Linked DNA regions of Lepisosteus oculatus. The protein of the gene in region 1 binds, or shares a complex with, the protein of each later gene. Links are inferred from orthologs where the notes say so. Each region holds a gene or a part of one and is shown on either strand. Other genes may lie near its edges.

Region 1 (7,160 bases):
TGTGCTGTATCAGTGTATTTCCAGCTCTGACTGTGTCGTTTGTCCTCTCACAGGACAGTGTGCCCATGGCCTCTCCTGCCTTCCTTCTCTCTCTCTTTGTAAGTATCACTCTGTATGCACAGCCCATTGTACTGACTGCAGCCTTCAGTGTGATACAACACAGCGCAGAGCCCTTCCCTCTCGCACAGCGCGGCGCAGAGCCCTTCCCTCTCGCACAGCGTGGCGCAGAGCCCATCGCCCCCAAAACAGCGCGGTGCAGAGCCCATCGCCCCCAAAACAGCAGGGCGCAGAGCCCTTCCCTCTTGCACAGCGCGGCGCAGAGCCCATCGCCCCCAAAACAGCGCGGCGCAGAGCCCATCGCCCCCAAAACAGCGCGGCGCAGGGCGCAGAGCCCATCGCCCCCAAAACAGCGCGGCGCAGAGCCCATCGCCCCCAAAACAGCGCAGCGCAGAGCCCTCCCCTCTCGCACAGCGCGCCGCAGAGCCCTCCCCTCTCGCACAGCGCGGCGCAGAGCCCTTCCCTCTCGCACAGCGCACCGCAGAGCCCTCCCCTCTCGCACAGCGCGCCGCAGAGCCCTTCCCTCTCGCACAGCGCGCCGCAGAGCCCATCGCCCCCAAAACAGCGCGGCGCAGAGCCCATCGCCCCCAAAACAGCGCAGCGCAGAGCCCTTCCCTCTCGCACAGCGCGGCGCAGAGCCCTTCCCTCTCGCACAGCGCGGCGCAGAGCCCTTCCCTCTCGCACAGCGCGGCGCAGAGCCCTTCCCTCTCGCACAGCGCACCGCAGAGCCCTCCCCTCTCGCACAGCGCGCCGCAGAGCCCTCCCCTCTCGCACAGCGCGGCGCAGAGCCCTCCCCTCTCGCACAGCGCACCGCAGAGCCCTCCCCTCTCGCACAGCGCGGCGCAGAGCCCTTCCCCTCTCGCACAGCGCGGCGCAGAGCCCTTCCCTCTCGCACAGCGCGGCGCAGAGCCCTTCCCTCTCGCACAGCGCGGCGCAGAGCCCTTCCCTCTCGCACAGCGCACCGCAGAGCCCTTCCCCTCTCGCACAGCGCGGCGCAGAGCCCTTCCCTCTCGCACAGCGCGGCGCAGAGCCCTTCCCTCTCGCACAGCGCGGCGCAGAGCCCATCACCCCGACACAGAGCTGCCCTACGTACATTACCAGTTTACATTGTACACAAACTTATACAGAGTCATAGAAAATGCAAGCAGATAGTGTCTTGTGCTGTGAGGTTGTTTTCCGAATGCAGTGATTTTAGAGTACAGTTTTACAGCTGTCAGTGTGCTGTGAAATTATGATTGTGAGGGGCTGCAACAAAGTGAACATTTTTGAAGATCATACTGACACTGTGACCATAGTAAAGCTTCCTCTGCTACAGAACAGAGCTTACCATGCTATATCATATAGACTCTCCAGCTGTGTGTCTCAGTAGAGAGTCTCCAGTAAGAGTCTGTACTGTAGCTGTGTGTCTCTGTACAGAGTCTCTAGTAAGAGTCTGTACTCCAGCTGTGTGTCTCTGTACAGAGTCTCTAGTAAGAGTCTGTACTTCAGCTGCGTGTCTCTGTACAGAGTCTCCAGTAAGAGTCTGTACTCCAGCTGTGTGTCTCTGTACAGAGTCTCCAGTAAGAGTCTGTACTCCAGCTGTGTGTCTCTGTACAGAGTCTCCAGTAAGAGTCTGTAATCCAGCTATGCGTACATATGGCGTAGGTATTAGAGGAAGATCGACAAACATTCCCTGACCATCCTTCCCTCCTGTTTGTGTTCTGTTTACCCGGGTCAGTGTCCCTGGAAGAGACGGGGGTCAGTAGATCCGTCTCTGTGGAAAGACAGGGTAGAGGTGGGACAGAGCAGGAGCTCTGCCTTGATCAGAAAGAGGGACAGACAGCAGGCAGGGCAGCAGCAGTCTTCAGGACAGGGTCAGCACAGACAGAGGGGCAGGAGAGGTATGTACCTCCAGTTGGAGAGCCAGTCAGTTAGGATAGGAAACCTTTATACTTATGTACATGTATGGCCTGTAAAAGCCATCTGCTTTAAACTTCTTCTTATTATGGAATTTGGACATTACCAGTCACAAAAAACAACTCCAAAAACATTTCCTGTCTTCAAAGCACTTGATGTGAGTCTCTAGTCTCTTTTGAGTTGGTGCTCCACAGCTTTGGGGTACAGCGACACGAGGCCCTGCACCCACAGAGTGGAGACGCGTAAGGTGGGGTCGCACGGTTAACCCGAGTCAGCTGAGCAAAGGTCAGGTGGAGGGGAACGAATGGATCCGGGGGAGACCAGGCATGTGAAGCCTTGAATATAAGCAAAGGGATCTCGAAATCAGTTCAAAACCTGACAGGAAGCCGGTGCAGGGATTCCAGGACAGGAGTGGTGTGATCACTTGCACATGGCAAGGCTAAATGCCAGACTCTGCACATAATGCAAGTAAGTTTTAGAGAGCCCTGCAAGTGGCGTGTTGACACTCCTTGACAAGCCAGCGTGTCAGTCAATCAGTCTAGGTCCGGGTGTGAGGGACTCGGAAATCGTGTGAATTTCAGCTGGTCACTGTTTCAGCCCTTGTGCACCGCAGGGTGGCAAAGCCTTTCAGACAGCAGGCTCAGATTTCCTTCTTCTCTGCCCTGTTCAGGACGGAGGAACCAGGGGCCGGAGGTGTGCCATTGAAGCTGACATGAAAATGAAGAAGTGAGAGTGGGCGGGGAGGAGAGAGAGGCGGAGGGGCGCCGGCGGGCCGTTGGAACAGTGTTGCTCTGGGGGAGAACGCTCCTCACGCCAGTCTCGCTGCCCCCCTCTCGCTCTCCTCCTCTGGCCTGGGCCCCGACTGGGACATGCAGTTTTCTCTCCAATTCCCTGTTTCACTTTGTTTTTTAAGTGACTTATTTTTGTTTCTTCCTCTCTGTCCCGGGACATCTCCTTGCTCCTTCACTCTGTCCCGGGACATCTCCCTGACTGACTCCCTCCACTCCTCGCTCTGTCCCGGGACATCTCCTCCCTGACTGACTCCCTCCACTCCTCGCTCTGTCCCGGGACATCTCCTCCCTGACTGACTCCCTCCACTCCTCGCTCTGTCCCGGGACGTCTCCCTGCTCCCTCCCTCGCTTTGTCCCGGGATGTCTCCTCCCTCTGTTGTGTTGTTGTTGTTGTTGTTTGATTGTAGGAGTGCAGAGAATTTTGTCCTGTTGGCACAAGTGTGTGCACAGACCATACTGCCCTTGTGTACATATTTTCAATTTTCATTTTTTTGCTAATGTACTACTGAATGTTGTAATAAAGAAATATTAAAAATGTTCTTTCTATATGACCTGTGTGGATTGAGCTGTCCCATGTGAGAGCTGGGATCTGGTACTCCTGTTGTAACAGGACTGTTCTACTGTACTCCTGTTGTAACAGGACTGTTCTACTGTACTGGGACTGTAGCGCCTATTGTAACAGGACTGTTCTACTGCACTGGGACTGTAGCTCCTATTGTAACAGGACTGTTCTACTGCACTGGGACTGTAGCTCCTATTGTAACAGGACTGTCCTACTGTACTGCAACTGTAGCTCCTATTGTAACAGGACTGTTCTACTGTACTGGACTGTAGCTCCTATTGTAACAGGACTGTTCTACTTCACTAGGACTGTAGCTCCTATTGTAACAGGACTGTTCTACTGTACTGGACTGTAGCTCCTATTGTAACAGGACTGTTCTACTTCACTAGGACTGTAGCTCCTATTGTAACAGGACTGTTCTACTGTACTGGACTGTAGCTCCTATTGTAACAGGACTGTTCTACTTCACTAGGACTGTAGCTCCTATTGTAACAGGACTGTTCTACTGTACTGGGACTGTAGCCTCTATTGTAACGGGACTGTTCTACTGTACTGGACTGTAGCCCCTATTGTAACAGGACTGTTCTACTGCACTGGGACTATAGCTCCTATTGTAACAAAACTGTTCACTGTACTAAGACTGGGCACTGGAACTGTAGCCCCTGTCATAACGTGTTCTGCTGTTCAGGGACTGTAAATGTAATTGTAAAATGCTATGGTAAAAGCTGTTCAGTGAATGTAACGGTTCGTCTCGAGAAAGTCCGTTTCGTGTTCAATACTCCTCCGTAGCACCAGAGGGCGCGAGTATCCCTCGGGCCACATGGCGAGTTAAAAATCAAGCAGGAAAGGGAAGTGACGTCAAGGATCCAGTAACAACACGTGTTGTGGCTGCAGACCGCGTCTCTAAAGCCAGAAGGTTGAACATTGCAGGCGCAATTCACGCGAGTAACAGAATAAGCAGAATTTGTTTTAAAAAATGACCAAAGCGAAAAAGGAGAAGGTGGAGGAGGAGAGCGGCAGCACGGAGAACACGTATCAGGACCTCATCGCCAATATCAACGCCATTGCCCAGCCGCTGGCGTCTCGGAAGCTCACGAAGAAACTGTACAAGTGCGTCAAGAAGGGTAGGAGCACTGCCGCCTCGCTGCTGCTGCTAACATGAGTGTGGACGCCCCTCTCCGGGCCTGCCGGACACCGGGGTCCGAGACGGGGTACCGTGCACGTCGGAGTGAATGCGCTGTTCATTAGCTGTGCTAATGAACGGCTACTGGCGATAATGAGCAGACTGGTTATTTTGCTCGCTTTTCTATCCCTTCTCCTTTCTCTCTCCCTCCCCAACTCTTCTCCGTCTCACTCCTCCTACATTCAAACAGCTTTATTGGCGGGGCCGATGAGTTACAGTGATGCCAAAGCACGTACAACTAACACGTTTACAGACATTTAAATATGGAGCATTATTGAGTGACAGGAGATCACACGCTGGGCTGCAGCTCTATTGAGTTTCCTCTCCCAGTAGGATCGGAAGCTACAATTGTGTAATTCAAGAGTTTTTACTCTCTCACTCTATCCCAGCCTCCAAGCAGAAGCAGATCCGTAGAGGGGTGAAGGAGGTCCAGAAGTTCATCAACAAGGGGGAGAAGGGGTAAGTCAGAGGCGACTTTGGTGTGAGTGTGTCAGGTTGAATCGAATGTGTTGCTGTGGGTCAGGTGGGGAGTGTTGTTGTGCAGGACTGTGGTGATGCTGTGTGTCTGGGTCAGGTGGGGAGTGTTTGGTGTTGCAGGACTGTTGTGATGCTGTGTGTCGGTGTCAGGTGGGGAGTGTTGTTGAGCAGGACTGTGGTGATGCTGTGTGTGGGGGTCAGGTGGGGAGTGTTGTTGAGCAGGACTGTGGTGATGCTGTGTGTCTGGGTCAGGTGGGGAGTGTTGTTGTGCAGGACTGTGGTGATGCTGTGTGTCTGGGTCAGGTGGGGAGTGTTGTTGTGCAGGACTGTGGTGATGCTGTGCGTGGGGGTCAGGTGGGGAGTGTTGTTGTGCAGGACTGTGGTGATGCTGTGTGTCTGGGTCAGGTGGGGAGTGTTTGGTGTTGCAGGACTGTGGTGATGCTGTGTGTGTGGGTCAGGTGGGGAGTGTTTGGTGTTGCAGGACTGTGGTGATGCTGTGTGTGGGGGTCAGGTGGGGAGTGTTGTTGAGCAGGACTGTGGTGATGCTGTGTGTGGGGGTCAGGTGGGGAGTGTTGTTGAGCAGGACTGTGGTGATGCTGTGTGTGGGGGTCAGGTGGGGAGTGTTGTTGTGCAGGACTGTGGTGATGCTGTGTGTGGGGGTCAGGTGGGGAGTGTTGTTGAGCAGGACTGTGGTGATGCTGTGCGTGGGGGTCAGGTGGGGAGTGTTGTTGTGCAGGACTGTGGTGATGCTGTGCGTGGGGGTCAGGTGGGGAGTGTTGTTGTGCAGGACTGTGGTGATGCTGTGTGTGGGGGTCAGGTGGGGAGTGTTGTTGAGCAGGACTGTGGTGATGCTGTGTGTGTGTGGGGAGAGTGAGTGATGCTGTGTTCCTGACTTCTTGTCACTGTGCAGGATTGTGGTGTTGGCCGGGGACACACTGCCTATCGATGTGTACTGTCACATCCCTGTCATGTGTGAGGACCGCAGCCTGCCCTACGCCTACGTCCCTTCTAAAGTGGTGAGAATCCCTCGTTATGCCATCATTACACCCTCCTCAACGCAGTCCTCAAGATTGTAACATCTGCATGGTTCTAGTGTTGAAGGCAACACTAAATGCTGCAGATAGTCCCTGTGGAGTCCAGCACACTGATGCAGCCCAGTCACAGGGCTCTAGACTCTTCCAGTCCCTGTGGTGTCCAGCACACTGATGCAGCCCAGTCACAGGGCTCTAGACTCTTCCAGTCCCTGTGGAGTCCAGCACACTGATGCAGCCCAGTCACAGGGCTCTAGACTCTTCCAGTCCCTGTGGAGTCCAGTACACTGATGCAGCCCAGTCACAGGGCTCTAGACTCTTCCAGTCCCTGTGGAGTCCAGTACACTGATGCAGCCCAGTCACAGGGCTCTAGACTCTTCCAGTCCCTGTGGAGTCCAGTACACTGACACGGCCCAGTCACAGGCTCTAGACTCTTCCAGTCCCTGTGGAGTCCAGTACACTGACACAGCCCAGTCACAGGGCTCTAGACTCTTCCAGTCCCTGTGGAGTCCAGTACACTGACACGGCCCAGTCACAGGCTCTAGACTCTTCCAGTCCCTGTGGAGTCCAGTACACTGACACAGCCCAGTACTGGACTCCACAGGGACTGGGCTGTGTCAGGGCTCTAGACTCTTCCAGTCCCTGTGGAGTCCAGTACACTGACACTGCCCAGTCACAGGGCTCTAGACTCTTCTGGTCCCTGTGGAGTCCAGTACACTGACACTGCCCAGTCACAGGGCTCTAGACTCTTCCGGTCCCTGTGGAGTCCAGTACACTGACACGGCCCAGTCACAGGCTCTAGACTCTTCCAGTCCCTGTGGAGTCCAGTACACTGACACAGCCCAATCACAGGGCTCTAGACTCTTCTAGTCCCTGTGGAGTCCAGTACACTGACACAGCCCAGTCACAGGGCTCTAGACTCTTCCAGTCCCTGTGGAGTCCAGTACACTGACACGGCCCAGTCACAGGCTCTAGACTCTTCCAGTCCCTGTGGAGTCCAGTACACTGACACAGCCCAGTCACAGGGCTCTAGACTCTTCCAGTCCCTGTGGAGTCCAGTACACTGACACTGCCCAGTCACAGGGCTCTAGACTCTTCTGGTCCCTGTGGAGTCCAGTACACTGACACTGCCCAGTCACAGGGCTCTAGACTCTTCCGGTCCC
Region 2 (7,684 bases), on another chromosome or scaffold:
GAGAGTCAGGACCCTGGTTTTACGTCACAACTGAAGGATGGAGCCCTTTTTAAAGTATAGTGTCCCCATCACTCTACTGGGGCATTAGGACCCACACAAACTGCAGGGAGAGCACCTCCTACTGTTTTTCCCACAAGGTCTCTCATCTAGGAACTGACCAGGCTCAAACCTGCTTAGCTTTAGTGGGTTGTCAGTTGTGAGCTGCAGGATGATATATGGCCACCGATGTAAGCTTTTGACCTAAACCATTTAAGCGGGAACAATAGAACTATAGACTTGACTTGAAATCATATGTAACATCTTGGAAAACTTTAGCAACATATATCAAAGTAGAATTTTGCCATAAAGCACAAGGATCAGGAGCAAAGGTTGAATCATTTTGTTCATAAGGAATTAACTTCAATATCAAACTACTTGTAGGCCATTAATTAAAAACTCTGTTTTCTGATTCCTGGAGGAATCGAAAATGTTAGTGTAATTTAACATGGAAGGGGAAGTGCTGTTTTCATATAGGCCAAAGTTTAAATGCCAGAACTTTATAATTAATTTTGGCACAGTTTTACCTTTTTATAGGGAAACGTCATAAACCATGAGCTATTTTTTTAGTGTTTTTGTCAAGGCAATTTTCTGTTGTCATAGATATTTTCCAGGAGGTTTTGACACCCAAGTATTTACTTCTCTTTCACATTGGGAAACACTCTCCAACCTATTATCTATTACCTCTAAAGGAAACTGATATTTTAGTGCTTGATTCATGGCAAAAGGGGGGGGGGGGGGTGAAACAATCCTTTGTTTGTCTGTAGTAACAGATAACTAAAGTCCAGTCCACAAAAACAAAATGTCTAAAAACGGTGTAAACATTTTAAAAACATGTTGCAGTTCACTTTGCTTAACCATGATTAAGCAATAAAGTACGGCAGGGTCTAGATACTTCTGAATATAACATTTGCAATTTCACTTCTTCACAGTTTGGTCTGGGGGTAGAGTTCTTGTAACGAAAGAAGAGAACTGAGGCGGAGGTTATTAAGCACAACTTTCAAACTAGTTGCAAAACAGACAAGGATTGTGAGAGTGTTTCTCTTCCCCCTGCCCAAGTACCCACTACCCAACATCCACATCTCACCTTGTTTTTTTATAGTAACATCTTGGTAATATTTTATTAAGTATATCTTGGTTGAATTTATGGTGTGGGGATTGACAGGCTGGAGATGACCTTACAGGCTCACTGAGAGCTGCCTTTTTCATTACAGTGGGTCATCAATCAAGCAGAGAGAAAAAAGTGCAGGTATCTGCTGAACATAGAGGAGAAATTAAGCTAACTGATCTCTACAATTTTTGTGATTACAATTGTGTTAGTTATTTTAATTAACTTAACGCTACTGCATTAGTACTTTAATCATCATATAAGGGGAGGGATAACACATGTCTGTTAACCATACATACTATATGCAATAGTGCACTATATAACAGTATAAAGGTGGTCTTGCTTATATGGCAATTCTGCTATTTTCTCTGCGCCAAACCCTCACAAATATTGAGACCCTACTGCATAGAAAATGCACCTAACATTTATGTTGTACCACTCTTTCATCACTAGTGATTCTTAAATATCTTTTAGATATATCTTAAATATAGATTTCTCTATAGCAAAAAACAAATTAAAGTTTTCAAACCTTGGCAACTGCTTATACAGATACCTCTTCAGCTCCTGTGAAAAACAATCAGATATAGCTGTTGGAGGGATCTGCTGTTTACTAGTGCATTCCCATTATGAGAAGGTTTGTGGTTACAGACAGCACTTTTATACCCTTCACACAATGTAACAAAGCTGGTTTAAAAATACTGAAAGGGTACATTCCATATACATAAATAAATGAAAATATGAACACTTGTTAAAGATGATGGCCAGAAATGTAATATTGCATTGCTTTGTGGTCACCTGGAAGTGTCTCAAAGCTGAAATGTGGAAAGAGATTCTAGAAGTGATCTTGATGAAGTCTGAGTAATACAGCAATTTCTTCCTTTCATTTGAGTAATTTTTTATCCCAAAGTTTTCTACATATAGATAAGCACCTGTTTGAATTACCACTGAAGTGCAATACCCACAGTGCTTCACAATGAAAATTACATTGTTCTTATGGAGTATTGGAGAAATGGAGTATACTGGGGCATTAGAACAGGATTTGGAAAAAAAAGGGAAGAGTGCCACCTACTGTTTCTACCAACAACACCAACTTACAACAGCAACCTGAATTTCTCTGGACATCACCCTTAACAGCACTGACCTGCTTAGCTTCTGAAATCTGATAAGATCAAGACATAATGTTGTAATTCTTCTGTCTAAAAATAAAAACTGTAAATGAACTTTTCACCTATTTACTGAAGAGCTCCCAAATCACACCTCCTTATCTAGTGTTAATCCCGCTTTTGATTGACCAACACGACCTCCATATGACTAGACAGCAGAATATTTATGAAATGTACTACAGAATGTACTACATAAAGCATTTTGCTAGAGCAGGAAGCATAATTTGGGGGAGATGGAGAAGTTCTGCATGGAAGAACAGTAAGAAATCTAACTTAAATATTGTCAGAACAAATTAAAAGGTTACAGGAAGTGATTTTTTATTATTATCAGCACCAAAGGCAAATGAAAGAAATATTAATTGCTGTAGGGTGAATAGTTTTTAATATTGTATATTTAGGACAATTTGCAATGATTTTAGAAATATTTGTTTTTGCTGTATTTCAAACTGTCCTAATATGTGTTATATTTTAAACCCAACTTAAGTTACACAGTAATTGTTCAGGCTACAATTTGTATACAACTGTATGCACTTACAGTTCCTACACCCAAAGTTAGGAACTGCATGAAAAACATAATGATAAGATTCATGCAACAGTGGAAATTGAAAATATGTATCCATTAGTATCAGATTTGTTTTCCAACATTCACTGGTAACGGTTTGTCTTCTCTCAATTAACATCCTGCAGCAACGGAAAAAAAAAAAGATCTGCAGTTTGCTAACATTAACATACAACATTTTTTAGACAATTTATACAGTAAATACTTACATCTGCCATTTTCTGTGTTTTTATTAGAAGTTAAAAACCTAGAAAGTAAAACAACTAAAATCAGATGTTGTGATGAAAGGACAAGAGCAAGGACTGGAAAGTGTCATACTTTTTTCAAGAAATGTTTCTAACTCCAGTTTTTTTGCATGAAACTCTGTTTTATTAAAGGAAATGTATAAAACTGTAAATGTATAAAACTGCAAATCTAAATAACAGTAATCTACATCTCTTAATGTTTCAAATGTGATAGTTTAGTTACATTTGACACCAACATCAAATTTAACACTCGTTCAAACTAAATCGTCTTTCAGCAAATAATATAATTTTTAGACGGAAGTGTGAATGTTTCTGATACTGTAGATTAAAACAACTTAATTGCCACTAGTTCCAGTGGCCAGAATAAATAAGACTATATATTATATTTATTGGGAATACCTCTGTCAAATAAGTATTATTTTAAAATAAAAATATTATAATTTATGAGTAGTAAATTAATGTCTGATATTATTGGAGAAGGAGGTAGAAAATATTTAGGGCTTCAGAATGGACCGAACGAAAAAATAGATAGCACTTCTCCTTCTAATGTCAAAGACAACGAGCATTAACATTTACGTTTAATTATTATTAATTATGTATAATGTTAATTAAACGTACACTTAATTAATAAAGAAATAGGAATAAACGTTTTATCAAAATCAGTGTCAAGATAAATGTATAGGATAATTTAGAGGCACTATATGTCACCTTTTTAAGCTAGATGACCTATCTCCTACTTTTAATTTCTACTACAAATTAATTTCAAACTGAGACCTCAGCGGCTGAACCAAATAAAAAGGAAACGAAAAGACAATGTGTCTATGATTCCTTTTAAAAAAGAAAAAAAATACGATAACCTGTTCAAAGGCAGAATACTCTAATTGGACTTATAATGCAAAATAAGACGATATTACCTGCTTCTGCTAGATTTTTACGGAAGGTTTGTAGAAAATGAAATAAATCACATGATATTTACACAGAAACGGAAGTATTTTAACAATTGACCTTTCAACAATTGACAGCTTCCGCTGTCACAAACGTAAAGAGTTTCCTATCGTACCGTGCCTCCCCATAAATGTGAGCATTCTTGTTTTAGTTTTTTCTACATTTATAAAGTATACTGAATTAAATAAAATGGGAATTTTACAGTACACCTCACATATAAAAACAAAAGAAACAGGAAACATGGTTATAAAGGTCTCAACTAAACCAGCATTGTTACCTGCAGTTACCCTTTTAATAATAATAATAATAATAATAATAATAATAATAATAATTGCTTACACACTTATTTAGTGCTTTCCTGGAAACTCCACTCAGGGCGCTTTACAAGTAGCGGTACAGCAAATCACAGAGATCATTAGAAGTGAAATACTTATGAGTTACATGAAAAGAACATCTAGTTTATAACTAAAGATAAACAACTGAGGATTAAGGTTTTGACAAATACGCTGTAATGATTCCAGTATCTGTGACTATGAGCTTGATCATCAAAATAGGATTTCCTGATTATTTGCATTACAAGCATTTTACGACAGTGTGAATCCTTGTGGTTACAACTGACTTACGGTAAAGGCCACGTGTGGTTGTAGGAAATCAGCGCGGCGTGGTGGTGTAAAGAACATATTGGGCATTTTGGGAGCAGGCGGTATTTCAGATAAAGGTGAGGTAAATGTTTTTTTTTTAAGATGTGCTTATGATTTTTTATTGGGTCATGCTTTATAGTCTAGTTAAAGTCCAGGAAGTTTTCCAAACTATTTTATGAGTCAGTTTGCTTTGGGGAGTACCTAAAACTGAACAGTTTGGTTATAGTTTAATTACTTCACAATTCATACCTACGTTAATTTCTACATAAATAATTGTATGCTTTGGTTCAATCACATATTAAGAGTTAATCGGCATTTTTGTCTTCATCACTTCCCCCTAAATTAAAGGAGATATTTATGCATGGTTTCAAAGTGAACGTCGTGAAAAAAGTAATGTCGATTAATTTCAATGAGCAACGCACTTCAGTTCAGTGTGGCATAATAAAGTGGCTCCATCTTATTCATTACCATTTTGGAACATGTGCTTTGTCCACTGAAAGCTAAAGTGTAAGTTTTGTTGCGATCTCACCCGATTCTAATTTTTTTCCCCCGCGAATCCAAAATTCATGCGAAGCATGAACAGTAGTTGAGCTAAAAGGGAGTAGTACTGTTTTCTTTCATTTATGTATTATTAAGTGAAAGTCAATTCTGGTACTAGTACCCATTTATATAAAAAAAAACTGCAGTCAGGATATGAGGTTGTTACAAAAAGCTGGTCAAACTGTGTCAGATTAATCATTTCAATGAAGTTTCAATTTGCCGAGCAAGCTAGTATCAGACGGGTTTTTTTTTGTATCTTATTCTGTTGTAATTTGGTTTTACCCAAAATGCTGTCTTATCAGCCCACTTTCTCAATGACACATCATAATATGAATTAATGTTATACTTTTTATACTAATTAAGAATATTATTAATACTCTTATGCATCATACCCTAATCTGGTGGAGTATAGCTGTAGGTTTTTAAAATTTAATTAACCGTTTTTGTTTTCAATAGTGTTAGAAGACGTTCCCACAAGGAACTTTAGAAAAGAAAGATTCACATAATTGTGGAATTGGTGATTGAGCACTTCCAGGGGAGGATTAGGATTAATTGATCAACTCGGTCTCGGTTTTCAAGCAGAAAGTAACTCCTTGATTTTAATGAGTTTTAACTCTTCGGTAGGATAAGGCAGACCACATTGCGTCAGATTGCTCTGCAGAGAGACAGGTTTTAGGGAAGTTTGTCTCATTCCTAGTTATTCACAATTGGTAGTTCTCAATTGGAAATTGAGGTAAAATATGCTTTTACCTGTTGAAGCATTTAATTGTTGGAGTAACGTTTAAGAGCCAAGATGGTCAACCAAGGTGGGATCACGAAATCTAGGTCACACATTCTAAAAAAACACAAAACTCTTTTAACTTAATGGAACACTGCATTTTGCAGTCGACGTTTAGGAGGCCAGGGCTTAAATTTCACTTTAATTTTTTTTTTCTTGTGCAAAACAGGAGGATCAGAAATGTTTTGTGAGTTGCTCAAATGGCAGTAAGTGGGTCTGTTTAGTATAGTAATGTAAGTAAATGATCTAAGTGCCCGAATGTCATAAATAATATAATAAATGTCTTGTCATGCTTTGAATAAATAAAAAATGATGCTCTGATGAATAATTATAACACTTATGTATCATGTCGATGTTGCTGTATGCAAATGTGAGACTGTACGGTTTTGATTGTAGCTTTTGTTCCTTAACTACTGATGTATCCTTCAATACTACAGAAACCAGGATACATCCCAGCTCTTTGGACGTCTGCTGTTTATATTTGAGCAAAATACGTTTTTTTGTGTTGCAGATACAACACTGACCAAAAGGCCAGTGGGAGAAAGTCCTTACTCCTCATGAACTGTTGTCTGTTTTCTTCTAGCAATGTCTTTCCGTGGAGGAGGTGGCCGAGGCGGCAGAGGAGGGGGGTTTAATCGAGGTGGACGAGGAGGTTTTGGGGGCCGGGGCGGTGGGGGAGGATTTCGAGGTGGTGGCCGAGGAGGCTTCAACAGACAAGATTTTGGACCTCCAGAATATGTTGTTGGTAAAGAAACTTTATCGTTGACTGTAGACCTAAATATTATTCTGTGTAGGGTTTACTGAGATGTACACAGTCGCTGTTTATTATTTTGAAGATAACTAGCAAAATAATTAATTTGGCAGACCCGGTTGTAGAAATGTAAATATTACATGTTAAGAGATTGAGTTACAAAATGAAGGAATGTCACCTTTTATAAAAATCTTTATGAATTAGGTGCTTTCTTTTAAAAAGGTATTTGCTTGGTTGGGAACAAAAAAATACAGTTACACTTAGCTTTGACATTATATGAAATATGAAGACCGCTGGTCTTACAAAAGGATGAAGTATTTCTTCCATATATTATCGTTTCTTATAACATTTAGAACTGAAGTCTATGTGGACCATTTTAAAACCAGTCAAAAAAAGTAATATAACACACCACTTGGGTACATTATATCAACTCTGTTATGGTACATCGAAGAACACAATGCATATTGTCAATATTTGCTTTGTCAAAATGTCTTGTAGACGTGTTTTAAGGGCATTGCTATCTTAATTTCTTTTCTGGTTTAATTTAAGTATGCAGCTGTGAACCATAGGAATTCGTAGGATTAAATTAGAAAAGAAAAAGCTATTTTTTTGCAGAAGCATGATTGAGTTTTTGCAGTTGGCTTTTTTGAGCAGCACTTCCTTCCCAACCACAGTATATTTTTTATTATACAGATAAAACTGCCCTGATAATTTCAGAGTTGCCACATGGCTTATGGACAACCATGCTACTTATTTTAAGCTTGTCCTGTAGCTCTTATAAAAAAATACTATTTACTGTCATAAGTGGCATGCTTTTATGCATGCTTTTTTTGGTTTAACATAGCTCTAGTTCTTTATAGTAGCATCCCAGTCTTCCAGGATACCTCATTATTTTAATTAGTTCATTTTAATATTTTC

What was found.
Region 2: nhp2 (region 1) and gar1 share a complex: the UniProt entries of both Homo sapiens proteins name them as parts of the H/ACA small nucleolar ribonucleoprotein (H/ACA snoRNP) complex. The link is inferred for Lepisosteus oculatus from reciprocal best matches to the Homo sapiens genes NHP2 and GAR1.

What each region holds. Positions count from the first base shown.
Region 1 is NC_090706.1:29,618,580-29,625,739, forward strand, and holds the start of nhp2 (H/ACA ribonucleoprotein complex subunit 2-like protein), read left to right. Parts: upstream 1-4,157; 5' UTR 4,158-4,282; coding exon 4,283-4,430; intron 4,431-4,878; coding exon 4,879-4,948; intron 4,949-5,876; coding exon 5,877-5,982; intron 5,983-7,160. Other genes in the region: bromodomain-containing protein 8, read left to right, coding at 54-98, 1,775-1,937, 2,624-2,658. UniProt on the Homo sapiens protein: Required for ribosome biogenesis and telomere maintenance. Part of the H/ACA small nucleolar ribonucleoprotein (H/ACA snoRNP) complex, which catalyzes pseudouridylation of rRNA.
Region 2 is NC_090696.1:56,886,510-56,894,193, forward strand, and holds the start of gar1 (H/ACA ribonucleoprotein complex subunit 1), read left to right. Parts: upstream 1-4,672; 5' UTR 4,673-4,774; exon of another isoform or gene 4,775-4,779; intron 4,780-6,598; 5' UTR 6,599-6,600; coding exon 6,601-6,760; intron 6,761-7,684. Other genes in the region: ragulator complex protein LAMTOR3, read right to left, coding at 1,124-1,245. UniProt on the Homo sapiens protein: Required for ribosome biogenesis and telomere maintenance. Part of the H/ACA small nucleolar ribonucleoprotein (H/ACA snoRNP) complex, which catalyzes pseudouridylation of rRNA.